Linked DNA regions of Elephas maximus indicus. The protein of the gene in region 1 purifies or fractionates together with the protein of each later gene. This does not show direct contact. Links are inferred from orthologs where the notes say so. Each region holds a gene or a part of one and is shown on either strand. Other genes may lie near its edges.

Region 1 (7,092 bases):
AATCTAAGGAAATGCTAATACTCTGATAAGCAAGGCAAGAAATGAAGTGAGACATTAACCTCTAGCTGTGGCTGCTTTCCCAGGGCACAATGAGATAAAAAGCAGCAGCAGCAGGTATGAAAAGAAGAGTCTATATCCTTTAAAGGAGCCTATTGGGATTTATGGTATAAAGCTCAGTACAGACCAGTGTGGAAAGACTTTAATATCAAGTTTGGAGTTTCATTTCTGGTATTAAGGAAAATGAATATTTTGGGACAGGATGAAAAAAGTATTTTAAAAGACTGGTCTAATAACTGCCAAAGAGAATTAGAGATGGTTGAAACTAACATCAAAGATACCAGCTGGAGGCTATCCCATTAATCCTGGAAATGAATGAGGACACCGACTCGTGGTAACAGTGGGAAAGGAAGACAAGCTACACAGTTCTTAGAGCACTTAGTGGTTATTCATGATTTAAAGAGACAGAGGCAGAAGAGGACTCTGTGGGTAAGGACTTTAAGAGAAATAACCTGGGATACAGCAAAATGATGTGGTATTCCTAGAAAAAATGAGCAAATAACAACTTTGCAAGATGATTAAAAAAAAAAAAACCATTGCACTCAAGTAGATTCTGACTCATAGCGACCCTACAGGACACGGCAGAACTGCCCCATAGAGTTTCCAAGTTGTGCCTGGGGGATTTGAACTGCCAACCTTTTGGTTAGCAGCTGTAGCTCTTAACCACTATGCCACAAGAGTTTCTTTCAAGATGAGAGGACACGTGAATTTATTTAAACTGTCTTCTTGGCAAATTAGGTTCATAAAATACAAACATTGACTCTCAACTCTAATATTAAGTTGTGTAACAGGACCCAACAAGTTCCACTCACATTTAAAACCTTTAAAGGTACATTTTCAGAAAGTGTGTGGCTTTCATAAGGTATTGGGCATAATTACACAGATTAAACAATGATTATCAAGAAGCGTCCAACTGATTCGATCAAGGCTGTTATAGGTGGGTCCCATAAAGTATTCATTAAGGTAATGAATGCAATATTTAGATAAAAATAAGATGTAAACAAAGAAAAAACAGGAGATTTTATAATTACCAAAAGGTTTAACTAAAGGCACTACAATCTTCTGGCCCAAACAATTACTTGTTTTTAGCATCCTTACCTGGTACCCTTTCTCCCAAAATTGATTGATAAAGAGCAATAAAAACGTTAGAATCACAGTCTTCAAGTGCATGTATCCGCAGGTGTATGTGACATTTCAAAAGAAGGTTATTGGCAATGGTTACCCACTCTGTTGGGAAAAGAGGGGAAAAGATCAACCTCAAATAGCATTAGAAAAAGTTACATACGTACTTTTAAAAACCAACAACCCCCCACCAAAACACTGAACTCTGTAGAAGATAAAGAATTTGATAGTTACAGAATTTCAAAGACCCTCCTAGGCATTTTAAAAGAAATATTTAATTTTGGGGGATGACTTCCAGGGAGCAATAATTTCAGTGTAGTCAACACTATGGGGTAAGTCCAATTTTTACTGTTGCAATCTGAAATCTTTGGTTATTTATGCATAGTTTTTTTTTTTTTTTAATAAGCCTTATATGTATTTTTTTTACAGAAGCCTTATTTAGGTAAAACATATTTACAAGTAAATAGGAATATTATGTAATAAAAACTAATTAATGGATGTTGCTTCACATTCCCAGTAGTACTGGACATGTTTTTACCCAATTCTCTTGTGCAAGTCAGGATTTCTCTGGTGCCCAAATAGGTGGTAATTAACCTAAGCTGTTAATCACTACTGCATTTTGTTAGTTTTTTAAATTACTGTATTTGATGTATATGAAAGGAAAATATGGGAACTACATAAACACATCCCCGTATCCATGACCTAAGGTCAGAACTAGCACATCACCAATACTGTTGAAGTTCTCTGTGTACCACCCTGTCCTTCCAACCCCTCTTCCCCAAGATACTTCTGGGATTAGCAAAGTGTTTCAAAAGTTTTCTCAACCAAAGGTAACTGAGAAAGCTGGAAATACTTGTTTCCTAAAATGATAAGCCATCAAGTGGAAACCAGCATTATTCAGTACTAGATATATCTTCATTATGTTCTTGAAACAAATGAGTATTATTGTGGGGGGGGGGTGTGGAGGAATAGAAATTTCTCTATCACTACTGTTTTCCTTCAAAGCGCACTACTCCTTCTCCCCATTTCCCATGGTTGACAAAACCATGACAACTGGTTTGTACGCTGTCCTGGAGAAAGCGTCCTAGACAACCGAATCAATTGCCTTCCAAAGCCGGTGCTAGACAAAGCCGGTATCTAGAGGGCACTAGAAAGAAAAAAAACCTCAGGGCTTCGAACCGATTCATCCCCCTGTTGAGAATTTGCATTTTCACCCCAGATATACTGAACTAGAATCTCCATTTTAACAAGATCCCCAGGTAAGTCTTAAGTATGTTAAAGTGTAGATTCTGACCCAGTATATCTGGGGTGAAAATGCAAATTCTTACGGGGTCGAACAGGAACGAACGGTTCGAGGCCCTGAAAAAAAAAAAAAAAAAAAACCACTGTTCTATATTGGGGAAACCCTGGAGGCACAGTGGTTAAAAGCTAGACTGCTGACCAAAAGGTTGGCAGTTCAATCCACCAGGCGCTCCTTGGAAACCCTATGGGGGCAGTCTGACTCCCTATAAATCAGAATCGACTGGACGGCATTGGCTTTGGTTTTTTATACTACATTAACAGGGACCTTAACAGATCTTAAAAGTGCTACTCTTCAAAAGTTCACTGGCAGATACGTAAGCTGCATAAGCGCTGGGTGGCTATGGGAGTACACCTACGAACGAAAAAAAGAGCACTACTCCTCAAAAACTCAATACAAATACAGGTACGGCCTCAGTCCTCGCAATGTAAGGACATCGACAGCCAGATACTCCAGAGAAGTCGGGAGACGATCTTTTCTGACTGCTGTTTTTGCGATCTGCATGCGGGTGTGTTGGCGGCTTCGTCAAAGAGCCCTCTCTCCCCCACCCCAAATCGCTGTTCCACCGTCACGAAGCAGAGAGCGGTGCTGGGACTCTTATCTCTGGCACCCGCAGACTGCGACGGGATATGTGACAATCATGAATCTCGCAGGCAGCCTAGACTTAGGTTCGGCCCGGCCCGAGGCCTCAAAGTGGCCTGGGGCGTTCGGGGAGTCGGACCGCTTCACTCCACACACAGCACGGCGCCAGGGCGAGACTCACCAGGCTCTGAGCCGGCCATGTCGCGGAAGCAGGTCGTCGCCGGGCTCCCAGCCGGGCGCGTGGGAGACGGTGTCCTGGAAGGGCCGCACAGCACAGACACACAAAAACGAGAGGGAAGTGTGGATAAAGAGGTGTAAAAGAGGGAGGGACGTTAAAACGGCTTCTCGCTGCTGATTGGTCATTGGAGGAGCACTCGCTTTCACCGCACGTGCCTCGGCGGCGGTTTGCGGGATCTAGATAACATTCTCCGCGGGCAAGAGCCTGCCAAGAGGTTCTTAAGTCGGTGAGTTTGACAGGTTAGGTCACCCACCCGCCTTGACCGGTCACCGGGGGAATTACAACGACACTTCCGGTGAGTTATTTGATTGTGTATTCCTCCGCTGACTGGGAAGTAGTGCGGCAATTCACCCGGTGGGCGGGGAAGCCAGTCACGTGATAAGATCAAGCCCCGCCTTCCCTTGTTTGGTTTTGGGCGTGAGGGCTGTTTGGAGACGTAAACATTTCCAGGTGGGGAGAGTAGGTTGTCCTGTAGTGGACGCTTGATTTTCTGGGTTGGACCTGGAAAAGGTTGAGGTGGATTGCTTAAGGTGTGTAAAGAGGAGAAAAAGGCGAAGTTTTAAGGAAATACAGGATGGGGCATTTCAGTGGCGGACGGGTCCAAATATGAAAGGGGAGAAAAACGTATGGCCCCAATGGATGGACTCGGAGGGGGAGGGGTGAGAACATGGCGGATTCCGGAACGCAGGCGGGCGTTGCGGCCTCTGCGCAGGGGGCGGGGCGATTAGGTCATAGAGCGGTTCCCAGCATCCTTTGCGGTGGAGGAGGCGGTCCAGACTATAAAACCGGCTGCCGGGAGGCGGCCGGCACCTCATTCATTTCCATCGGCCTTTCGTTATTCAGCTCTAGGTCTTGCTGTCGCCGTCTCTCCGCCGCTGACGCCCACGCAAGGGTTCGCCGTCGCCGAAGCCACCCCTAAGAGACTCTCCGCACCGGCTTTTTTCGCTTCGTTCCCCACCAACCGCAACCATTGACGCCATGTCAGGTTATTCGAGTGACCGAGACCGCGGCCGGGACCGAGGGTGAGTATGGGAACCGACCTGTCAGGCCCGACGAGTGGGGGATGGGCGGGAAGTGGGTGGCGGGGGCGCCGCCATCGGCACATCGGCTTTTTCGGCCTACGCCGAGGTCTTCTTAGTTAAGGGTTTGCGCCGTTGTGGTAGTTTTCTAAAACCGGTTAGGGAGGACTTGCTTATTAACGGCCTTCAAGCTGCCTTTTTTTTCTCCCCCGCCCCTGGAGCGGGGGCGGCGCGCCCTCGGCGATTTTGCAGTTGGGAGAATTCGGAGGCGTGTATCGCGAGGGGGAGGAAAACGGGATGCCTCGGGGTGGATCAAGTAGCCTCGGTTAGATGCACCCTTCCGGGAGGTGTTTTAGGGGTTCAGGGAATTCTGTGGAAGCGAGGGGCCCGCTTCCGCAGCCATTGAGGCGGTGAAGGCAGGAGGGTGGCTGGCGCCGCCGGATTCGCCCATGTGGCTGCGCCGCGGGTACAAAATGCCGGCCTCCGACATGGCGGCGGCGCCTTTGTTACCCCGCCCGGCGGAGGAGCTCAAAATGGCAGCGTCGAGAAAATGTGGCGCAGAGAGAAATGCGAGACAAAGGGGAAAGCGCCGCCCCAGCGGGAACGCCGCCCGACCGACTCCGCCCGGGCGGGACTCCTCCCCCGGTAGTCGCCGGCTCCTCCTCCTTTTTTTCCTTGTGTTATATAATTTACCTACCTTGATGGGGAGCTTTCCCAAGGGACACCCCCAACCCCCAACTCGATTCCCTTGCATAAGGGTCCCCGAGGCACCGTCCCCGTTGTTTTCTTTTTATTATGTCTCTGTGTTATCGATTGTTAAAACCAAAGTTAAAAAATAGGGGTATAAATAACATTTGTCTTGGGCTTGTCCTTTTTTGTATCATTTCGTTTCCTGGATGTTTAATTTCTAAACTGGTGGGAACCACCATAGTTACAAGCTATTGTCTATCCATCTAATCGGAACTTCCAGCATTTTGGTAGCCAGTTTCTGACATAATAAGTTGGGGGCTGTTTAGTGTTCTTAATTATGTGTATTTGAGATGATAGCAACTGAGATACACAATGGTAACCCTGATTGTTGAATGACAGCTAAGTGTAGTTTTAGGCTTTGTGTTCCTTAAGTCTGATTTGAGTGAGCTTTAGCAGGTGCTAAGAGATGGTAAATAAGTCTTTCAGCCCATAGGTAGAGATTGGAAGTCTGAATTATTCTGTAATTTCAGGTTTGGGGCACCTCGATTTGGAGGAAGCAGGGCAGGGCCCCTGTCTGGAAAGAAGTTTGGAAATCCTGGGGAGAAGCTAGTTAAAAAGAAGTGGAATCTTGACGAACTGCCCAAATTTGAGAAGAATTTTTACCAAGAACACCCTGATTTGGCTAGGCGCACAGCGGTGAGTAATTTCATATGGCTTCATCAGGCTATGGAACCCAGTAACGGCTTCTGGTAATAAGAAGCTGAGTGCAAGTGTCTTGCAAATGACTAGATTTGGGGAGATTCATACCTTCCAAGTTGATAATAGGGGAAAGCTGTGTGATTCACTTTTGGAAACAGGTGGCTTTGAATTTTCCTTGGAACAGTTATCTTAGGATAATAGGTGGTTTTTACGTGTTTTAAATACGGTTTTTGTACATGAATCTAGATTTTAAAATCACTCACTTTAAAGTAGCAAATCGTAAGTTTAGGGGCTTTCTAGTTGCATATTTAGTTAGGGTGGGTTGTTAGGAGACTTACGAGATTAATGTTGTTTTGCAGCAAGATGTGGAGACATACAGAAGAAGTAAGGAAATTACAGTTAGAGGCCACAACTGCCCGAAGCCAGTTTTGAATTTTTATGAGGCAAACTTTCCTGGTAAGTGTTTGTTCTGAATTTCACATTTACTATTTCTTTGTCTTGGCATTACTGAGTTTTGTTAAATTGCTGTCGCTATTTACAGCAAATGTTATGGATGTGATTGCAAGACAGAACTTTACTGAACCTACTGCTATTCAAGCTCAGGGATGGCCAGTTGCTTTAAGTGGATTGGATATGGTTGGAGTAGCACAGACTGGATCCGGGAAAACGTTGTCTGTAAGTTTTGAGAGAGCACTTTTGCATACCCTGTGGTATGTGCTAGAGAAAATGGCTTTGGAATTAAAAGACCCTGGGAGTATTTTAACAAAACTTCTGTTTTTTCCTCTGTTTTTCCCCACCCACAACAGTACTTGCTGCCTGCCATCGTCCACATCAATCATCAGCCGTTCCTAGAAAGAGGTGATGGGCCTATTGTAAGTATGTACTTCATGAAGTTCCATAGTAAGGAGGATATAGAAATTTGTAGAATATAGAGAAAAACAAGATAATTGGTGGTTTCGCGTAGAGAGATTAGTTGGAAACTCTGCTGTTTTGGCTTTTGGACAGCACTGTTGAGGAAACGGAAACCCTGGTGGCGTAGTGGTTAAGTGCTACGGCTGTTGACCAAGAGGTCATTATTTAAAATCCACCAGGAGCTCCTTGGAAACTCTTTCGGGGCAGCCTACTCTGTCCCATGGTGTCGCTATGAGTCAGAATCGACGGCAGTGGGTGGGTTATTGAGGAAATGATTTCCAGCATAACACTAATAAATTCACAATTGAAGATGAGAGTCCAGGTCTTTGCTAAAAGTTGTTTGTTTTTCCTTAGTGCTTGGTGCTGGCGCCAACTCGGGAACTGGCCCAACAGGTACAGCAGGTAGCTGCTGAATACTGTAGAGCATGTCGTTTGAAGTCTACTTGCATCTATGGTGGAGCTCCCAAAGGACC
Region 2 (7,811 bases), on another chromosome or scaffold:
ATTATAAACCCACCAAAGACAGCAGTACTTAGAATACACTGAGGCTGTTTACCTTTGCAGTTAATAAAATTAAATATTATTTCGTTTGTTTTGTGCTTTTCCAAGCCAAATGTATATTTATTTTTTCTCACCGTTTCCACTAAATGTCAGTAAAATTAGAACATTTCAGCTACACGAATCACTAATCCTTCAAGATCGGTCTCAGCTTCATTGGTCCTAGAGCAGCTTTAACGAAATAGTTGTCGCGGCATAGTTGATTTTACCCGTAATTTTTCGTTTGCCTTTTTTTTTTTTCCTTGCAGGGGTTGTTTGGTTTTGCTTAAAAAGACCCTGGGGAGCACAAAGGGGGCTAGGAAGGGAGGGGGCAGGACGAGTGAATTTCTCTAGAAGCCAAGGGAAGTCCAGGCAACTGGAAACGCATTTTTTGGTTGTTTTTACAAGAAGAAAAAAAAATATATATATAAATTCTAAGATGTTGGAAACAGGCAGGGAAACGAAAATGTGACTCCAGTTGCTGAGCATGGCGCAAACCGACGACCTCCGGTCGCTGGACGTTGGGGGAAGGGAAAGGAATTGTGCGGGCACCACGCGGTCAGCCCAGGGGGCGGGGTCCACACACCGCAGAACTATTTTCTACACCTCCCTTTCAGCTACCATCTTCTTTCCTCCCTGGGGATTGGAGCTGGGAGCAAGCAGTTAATAGGGTAGGGAGAAATGAGAGTAAGAATCTCACTCCTCAACAACAAAACCATCGAGAGGGAGCAAAGGGTTATTTTCGCGCCACAAAAGATGGAAATCCAGGGGCTGCTCGGGGGCCAATGAATGGAAACCAGCAAACGAATCCGGCGGAGGTAGCCGACGGTGATAGGCTCCCTTTCTGCACCAATCGGATAAGAGGGAGAAGCCCCCCGCCCCCTCCTTCAGCCAGGGGCGGTGTTTCTCTCGACGCCGGTTGCTCAACTTGGTCTCGGCGAGTCAGCCTCGCGGAGCGCGGGAGCCCCGCCCCGGGGCCGCGTTTGCGCGCCCTGTGCGCGCATCTTGCTGCCCCGCCCCGCCCCGGACAGAGGCGCAGGGTTCGGTGATGGCTTTTTGCCTTTTTCCGTGGGTACCAAGCATCCCCTTGCGCCAGGCAGTCCCTCGCACACATGAAGCTGAGGCCGGAGGTGCGGGAAGGCCGTCAAACACGCTGCTTGGTCTGTCGGGCCGCGGGGGAAGGAGGACTTCAGGTGGAGTCGTGCCGCCGAGGAAACGACTGAGGTTTCTCCCGGCGCTCACGTCCCACCGGCCTTGCGGCTCCGCGCCGAGTGACGGGACCCGAGGCGAGGCCCGGGGGAAGGTGGATCAATGGTCAAGGCCCTTCGTGGCGAGCAGGCGGCCGACGAAGGACCTTCCCCAGTGTGCTGTAAGGATCCCGCCCTCTTTCTCGGGGAAGAGCCAGAGGAAAAAGGAAACAACCCCCATCTTCTCGTCTCCCGGGGCACCATTTTTAATTTCAAACGATAATAAACGAAGGTAGATTCTGGAGAGTCACGTTACCCCTTATCACGCCTCTGGTTTAAACAGATCAGAGTCCAGGAGAGCCATTCGAAGGAGCAAGAGCGTGTTAAAATACCTCCTGTGAGGCCCATGCGACGCGGCGGGCATTGTGTGCCCACCCGCATGAAGGGCTTAGGCTCCCAGCTTGTCTCACGGCAGCTGGGAGGAAGGACGGGTAGGAACAGGAATGTCCTTTCCCCTTCCTGCGCAGCCCTCGCAGATAACCTGTGGATACAGCAATGGTAACCGATCTTCTCAACATAGTTTTTCTCCCTTAATGTCACACTGACCCCCTAAACATTTTTATTGCGATTAGATCAGCAGATAAGGAGGTGCAGCTGTCCAAAGAGTAAACAGGCTGCAGATGGAAAAACTCAGCCGCAACTGAGATACAATAATCGGTGGGAGTCCTTTTTTCATGTCATCAACATTAACTAGGAGCTACAACTGCTTCAGGAGGAATCTGGAGTAGCCTATACACAGTTAATTTCTTGTGTGACACGTAGTGGAATACTGGAAGTTAAATTGACCTTATACTGACTCTTGAAAATCTAAAGATATTTTTGTACTTAAAGTGCCAATAAAAAATACTCATGCTCTTTTTGCTCTGCTATTGAGCTTATTATACTTATTCCTCAAATGCTTGGAAGATTCGAAGTGGACTGGCCTATATAGCGACCTCCTTTTGTTAGTGTCTGAGCTTATATAATGTGTATGTTTTTAAGATCCTAGATGGGGTATCCATTTTGTTACAATAATAGATTAAGTTCACAAGAGTCCCAGGTACATATTTCATCAAAACAACACACATTTTGTTTTAAATTCCAGCTGTTATAGGTTTGATAGTGACAGACTGGCATGGGCTAGTGTTATGGAAAATAAATCATCCACCCCATGCTTTAGAAGTATTTAGGTCTTAGTTTTAATAAGGGCAAATACAATCAATAATCCATCAGTCACCAATCGATTTAGAAAGCAAGCTGAACATACAAAATTTGTTCTTACAGAAAAATTACTAAAAGAATTAAACGATCAACAGACTTGTCTGTAAAATTTAAAGTAACATTTAGAAAAAGCAAAGATTATTAAGTGCACATTTCTCCAAATAGTTTTGATCACATGCAACAGGTACACGAAAAAGAAATATATTTTGATATTTACATTTGCATACCAAAGAAGTCATAAGGGAGAAGACGTATGTTTTTCTTTTTTACAACCATGGTTCCTTTAAAACACACACAAAAACTTTCTTTTAAAGTTAAACCTAACTATAAACTTGAATTTCACCACCAAAACGTTTTTTCAAGATAGGGCTCATAATATAGTTCTAAACACTGTTACATGTTTGTCCCCCATCTCATAAAGTAAAAGCATTTCATTAAATTAACCGTCAATGAAAATATTGTGAATGTGAGTATACATTTAAAAAAGTGGATTTGCTTGGCTGGAAAGAAAAACCTGTTAAAACAGTTGCACATAAAATGGATGATCTGACACCTTCCAGTTAAAATAAGACAAACTTATAAGTTCCTTTTAAAAGACAAAAGGTAAATACTTAATGCAATATATTCCTGTTTGTCTTTTATAATCTGCCATTCATCTTTTATCCCTGGAAATTACATCGTGTTAATAAAAAAAAATTTTTTTAAATGACACACACGATTTCGACAAAGAAACGAACTACATCAGTTGTAATTGTTTAAGATGTTTCCAGTTAAATCACATTATTTTCTCTATTACACAATACATCTTTTTCTACCGATAAGATTATCAAGTCATTAAAATTTCTTGTTTATATTTCCATGCTATAGACAATTTCATTCACTTAAAAAGGTTAACATTTGTGTCTTTCCCATGGAATACCTGTTAAAAACATATACCACAAGTATATGGTACAAATGAAGCCTTTGAGTGGTAGACAATTATTAAACGACACTTCCAGATTTCCCCAAGCACCCCAGCACTGCCTTCCTTTCCGTATTCCTCGTCCCCAGTCCACGTTTCGTCGGCCTGGAAGGCTTCACTGTGCCCAGACCCTCCCCCACAGACCCACCTTTGTACTCCTTACATGGAAAATTATGAATGGCTCTCATGCCCAAACGCTAGCAGAAAAAGAAGCAGAAGGAGACTCGTACAAATTTTGCAAAGGCGATTACCAGCTAGAGGTAACGCAGAGCGGTCTTCCTGTTTTAACAGTCTCTAGTTCGACAACTAAAATTATTTAAATAAAAGTACCACCCTACTTACTCCTCCCCCCGCTCTAGAAGCTACAGGAAGAGAGAGTTTCCCTTTAAGTATCGACTTTTCCCACTCTGACTTCTCTCCCTCAGCCTCCAAAGCCCCCGACGGCCCCATCCCTAAACCAGAAACCTCCGCCCTCCTCTCCCCCTCCCCCACCGGTGGCCGCGCCCGCCCCCGGCCTCATTTATCCCCGAGCCTTTTCTGAAACGCGCAACCAATGGCAAACGCGCAGCCGAGAGCCACAGGGAGCGGAGGCGGAGGCGGAGGCGGAGGCGGAGGAGGTGTCGCCCAGATACCCGCCCAGGACGTCGCTGGCTCCCATCCCCCACAGCCCCGGCCCTGGGATCCTGCAGACAGGCGCTCTCGTTTCCCCGGGCCGGGAGGGGTGAAGAGAACGGGGCGCTTCTGCCGTCTCTCCGTCCGCACCCACCCCACCCCCTCTCTGCGTTTCCGCCCCTGGCAGCCGTGGAAACGTGCTCGTGGCTTTGCCGAGGTTACACATAATGTCATCAAAGCCACAGGACTAGTTCAGAATTGTGGCTCTAGTTTTGTTAATCACCTACTTTAAAAACAGAATGATTAAAACTCAGAGTTGAGGAATCGTCTAGTTAGCACTCCCACTCTTTTACTCATTAAAAAAAAAAAAAAATCAACATTCCAACCCCCGCCCCTCAGGAGCCGCCCCGACCAGATAACCCTTTCTAAACTCTTGTTGTGACAATCAGCTCCCCGCTTAGCCTGGCGCCCGGCTGCGGCTTCCTTAGCATTTTTCCTCCTCCCCCTCCTCAGAGTCCCTTGCCTAATCTCGTTTCCCCTCCCCCTCTTCCTCCTCCTGCTTGCTCTTTCCCCCCCACTCCTCGAAACCCACTCTAATTGAGGCGCTGGGATTCCTCACGTGAGACGTTGATTTGTAGTTTGAACACGTGGCTCATTCAAAAAGCCGGACACTCGGAGCGGATTTTTTCCGCCTCCTGCGCTTTCTTCCCTCCTCCCCCTCTCCCCTCGCTCCTGCCAGTCACCCTTCTGGGTTTTTTTATGGGGAGGCGGCGCTCTGCCCTCACGTAGTGTGATATTTTCACAGTCCGCTGGCCGATGCCAAAGGGGTTGGGGAGGAAGAGACAAAAAGTAGTTTTTTTTTTCCCTCCTCCTCCTCTTTTCTCTCGCTAATCCCGCCTCCTCCTCAGAGTTAGGAAGACTCGTTCATGCGTCTGGGTTGTAGCAAGGCTTTTTCTTTTTCATTTTTCTTTTTTTGTACCTAGAAAAGGAGAAGCAAGAACCTTCAGACCTGATATTTCGCTCCCCGTTCTCGCCCTTGTTTTTTACTGGGTTTGTGCATTTTAAAGGCGAAAAGACGAGGGGAACAAAACCGCCAGATCCATCCATTGTGGGTGGTTTTAATTTTTCGTTTTTCTATTATTAGTTTTTTTAAACTACCAGTCTTCACAATGAACAAACTGTATATCGGAAACCTCAACGAGAACGCCGTTCCTTCGGACCTAGAAAGTATCTTCAAGGACGCCAAGATCCCGGTGTCGGGACCCTTCCTGGTGAAGACAGGCTACGCGTTCGTGGACTGCCCGGACGAGAGCTGGGCCCTCAAGGCCATCGAGACGCTTTCAGGTGGGCCCCGGCCTGGCCCCACCGGGGCGCCTGCCCCAGCCCTGCGCCGCCAGCCCCGGCCCGCCGAGGTCGGGTGCCCGGAGTCAGGCCTGTGGCTGCCGCCGGGGCGTCCGCGCGGGGCCCCAGGCCCGGCGAGGAGCCGGTGGAGGGTGTGAGGCCCGAGCGTCCACTCGTGTGGGGTCGGGGTGCTCTCAGATTTGGCTCTAGCTCCGCTCCCCCCCGTCTCCCCTCCCCCACCGGGGTTTGCCGGGCGAAGGTGGACCCGCTGTCAATAAAACCAGGGCCAGGGCTAGGAGGGGCGCGAGGGGCGGCTGCGGAGCCCGTGCGCGGGGATGGGGGGCGCGGCCGCCCGCACCGGACCCCCGTCAGCGCTGCCACCGCGCCCAGCCCGGGCCCAAGCGCGTTCTCTCGGTTTCCACACACCGGGCCGGGGGGGGGGGTGGGGGCGAGTGTGAATGCCTGCTTCGCCTTCCTTTCTCTGGTCGTTATTTATGGCGCTGGGTTCGCTGCAGACACCCAGACCCCGGCAGTGTGAGAAAGGAAAGAGGCTCGAATCTCTCAGCCGAGTGAGGCCGCGGGCTAGTGCCTTGCACTGGCGGCCCCGCGCTTCCTCCCGACCCTGCGGGAGGGGAGCGAGTGCGACCTGGCTTTCATTTTCAACTGCACTCTGTCGGACGAGCAAGCTGGGCAGGTGGGCGGGGGTGGCCGGTTGTAACCGGCGAGGGAGCCCCCGCTGCGGCGCTGGGCCGCCGGCGGCTCTCCGGAACCCGGCGCCCGGCTGCGGCCTCCGGAGTGGCGGCGCGCCCGTGGTGCCTGGCGAGGGCAGGAGACCGTGCGTGGCGGGGCGGCGGTCTTGGGCTGGGACTCCCAACAGGGAACCTACGCGGGGGTGCTTTTGCGAGCCCAGTGCCTTTCGGTGTCCCCCTTATCAACTCAGTACAGTTATGGGCGCCGCGCCGACCTTCGCGCGATGTTCAGTCTGGGCTGAGATGCAGCTCTGGGCGTTCGCTCTTCTACCCCGCCGCGCTCTCGACCCTTTCCCGCTACACTTCGTCCTTTCCAACCCTACCGCAAAGTGTTCCCGGCGGGCCTGGGCTTGAACCGGGTGAAAGGCCCGTGCGCCCCCTCCTGAAAGAAGCTAATGTAGCCCCTCTCCCTCCGTTTGTCGTATGGGAGTGTCCAGGGAGGTGGGAGGAGGGCCGCGTCCATTTTGCGGGTGTTGTGGGGTTGGGTGACCCTCTGAGTGGCCAGGGGAGGCTTGTCGGGAGGGGGTGGAATGTTACTGAAATAGTGGGCCTGCCAGTTGATCCCACTCCCCACAAATCTGTAAACTAAGCACACACACACACACATAGCCGGGAGGTCATGCACAGTGTAGGGTTCCCTCTCGGCCTTTAGCCGCGTCCGGGGCTTGGGGGCCTTTCGGGCTCTCAGGAGGCCACTCGTCGCTGCATAGGCTGTTGAGGGTCCTTTGGGTTCGAAGAGCCGCTGAACCCAGCCAAACGTTTCCCACTTCTTGTGTGCCCACAGGTAAAGTGGAACTGCATGGGAAACTCATAGAAGTTGAGCACTCGGTCCCAAAAAGGCAAAGGTGAGTTTAATAATTCTTTTGTCACGGATTCGTTACTGAAAGACTCCTTTTTTACACAGCTGAAAACAATTTTTTTTTTTTTTGCCTCCTATGCTTGTCGGGCTGCTGTGTGGCTTGGCGTTTCTCGTCATTTCCCCTCACTTTTAAGTTTATGGCAGCTGTGTGTGTGTGTAATGCTGCGAAGGAAAAGAGGGGTTGTCTGTGGCCCGGCAACTAGGTTGTTGAATATAGCAGTCTCTCAAGGAAGCTCTCACAGCTAAATATTCTCTGGCAGAGCAGGTCAAGTTACTGCAAGGGGAGATGAAGTCTCCAAGGGGAGTGTTTTGGGAATCCGGGATTTAGCAAGCAGTAAGCAGTGGATGACCGATGCCTGTAGGTACTGGGTAGGCGAAAGCAGCTGCAGAAATGCTCGGGTGTGGCATGCCCGCCCTTCTCTGGCCAAGTTGGCGACGATGAGTCTCTGAGTCTGCCAGGCCCTAGGCACATGAGAGGAGAGGAATTTGCCTTTACCCTGTTAGCTCACCAGCTGGGATTGGAACACGTGAGTGAACGCTTGGGCTTCTCCACCCTAGAAATGCCTTCCAGTCCCTCCAAAGTTACATAGGTTTCTGCAAACACCGCCTTTGTCTCCGCTTCCTTTTTTTTGAAAGACATTTTTGTTTACAAATCTACCACCGAGAGATCGTGAACTCTGATGATTTGTGCTACGTAAAAGCAGGGGGATTTCTCCTTCTCTGAGAGCATGTGTAGTGTCACTTGACAGAATATTTTGGAGACTGTTTTAGCCTCTGAAGCATTTTGGAGAAATGGCTCCTTTCTCCAG

The links. The genes of interacting proteins can lie anywhere in the genome.
Region 2: the proteins of DDX5 (region 1) and IGF2BP3 fractionate together in Homo sapiens (co-fractionation; 3 studies listed by BioGRID, with this or other methods). This does not show direct contact. The link is inferred for Elephas maximus indicus from reciprocal best matches to the Homo sapiens genes DDX5 and IGF2BP3.

What each region holds. Positions count from the first base shown.
Region 1 is NC_064837.1:55,713,896-55,720,987, reverse strand, and holds the start of DDX5 (probable ATP-dependent RNA helicase DDX5), read left to right. Parts: upstream 1-4,092; 5' UTR 4,093-4,277; coding exon 4,278-4,321; intron 4,322-5,538; coding exon 5,539-5,704; intron 5,705-6,066; coding exon 6,067-6,163; intron 6,164-6,248; coding exon 6,249-6,382; intron 6,383-6,513; coding exon 6,514-6,579; intron 6,580-6,973; coding exon 6,974-7,092. Other genes in the region: CEP95 (centrosomal protein of 95 kDa), read right to left, coding at 1,156-1,284, 3,243-3,261. UniProt on the Homo sapiens protein: Involved in the alternative regulation of pre-mRNA splicing; its RNA helicase activity is necessary for increasing tau exon 10 inclusion and occurs in a RBM4-dependent manner. Binds to the tau pre-mRNA in the stem-loop region downstream of exon 10.
Region 2 is NC_064826.1:84,499,669-84,507,479, reverse strand, and holds the start of IGF2BP3 (insulin-like growth factor 2 mRNA-binding protein 3), read left to right. Parts: upstream 1-4,792; 5' UTR 4,793-5,222; coding exon 5,223-5,397; intron 5,398-6,927; coding exon 6,928-6,988; intron 6,989-7,811. UniProt on the Homo sapiens protein: RNA-binding factor that may recruit target transcripts to cytoplasmic protein-RNA complexes (mRNPs). This transcript 'caging' into mRNPs allows mRNA transport and transient storage.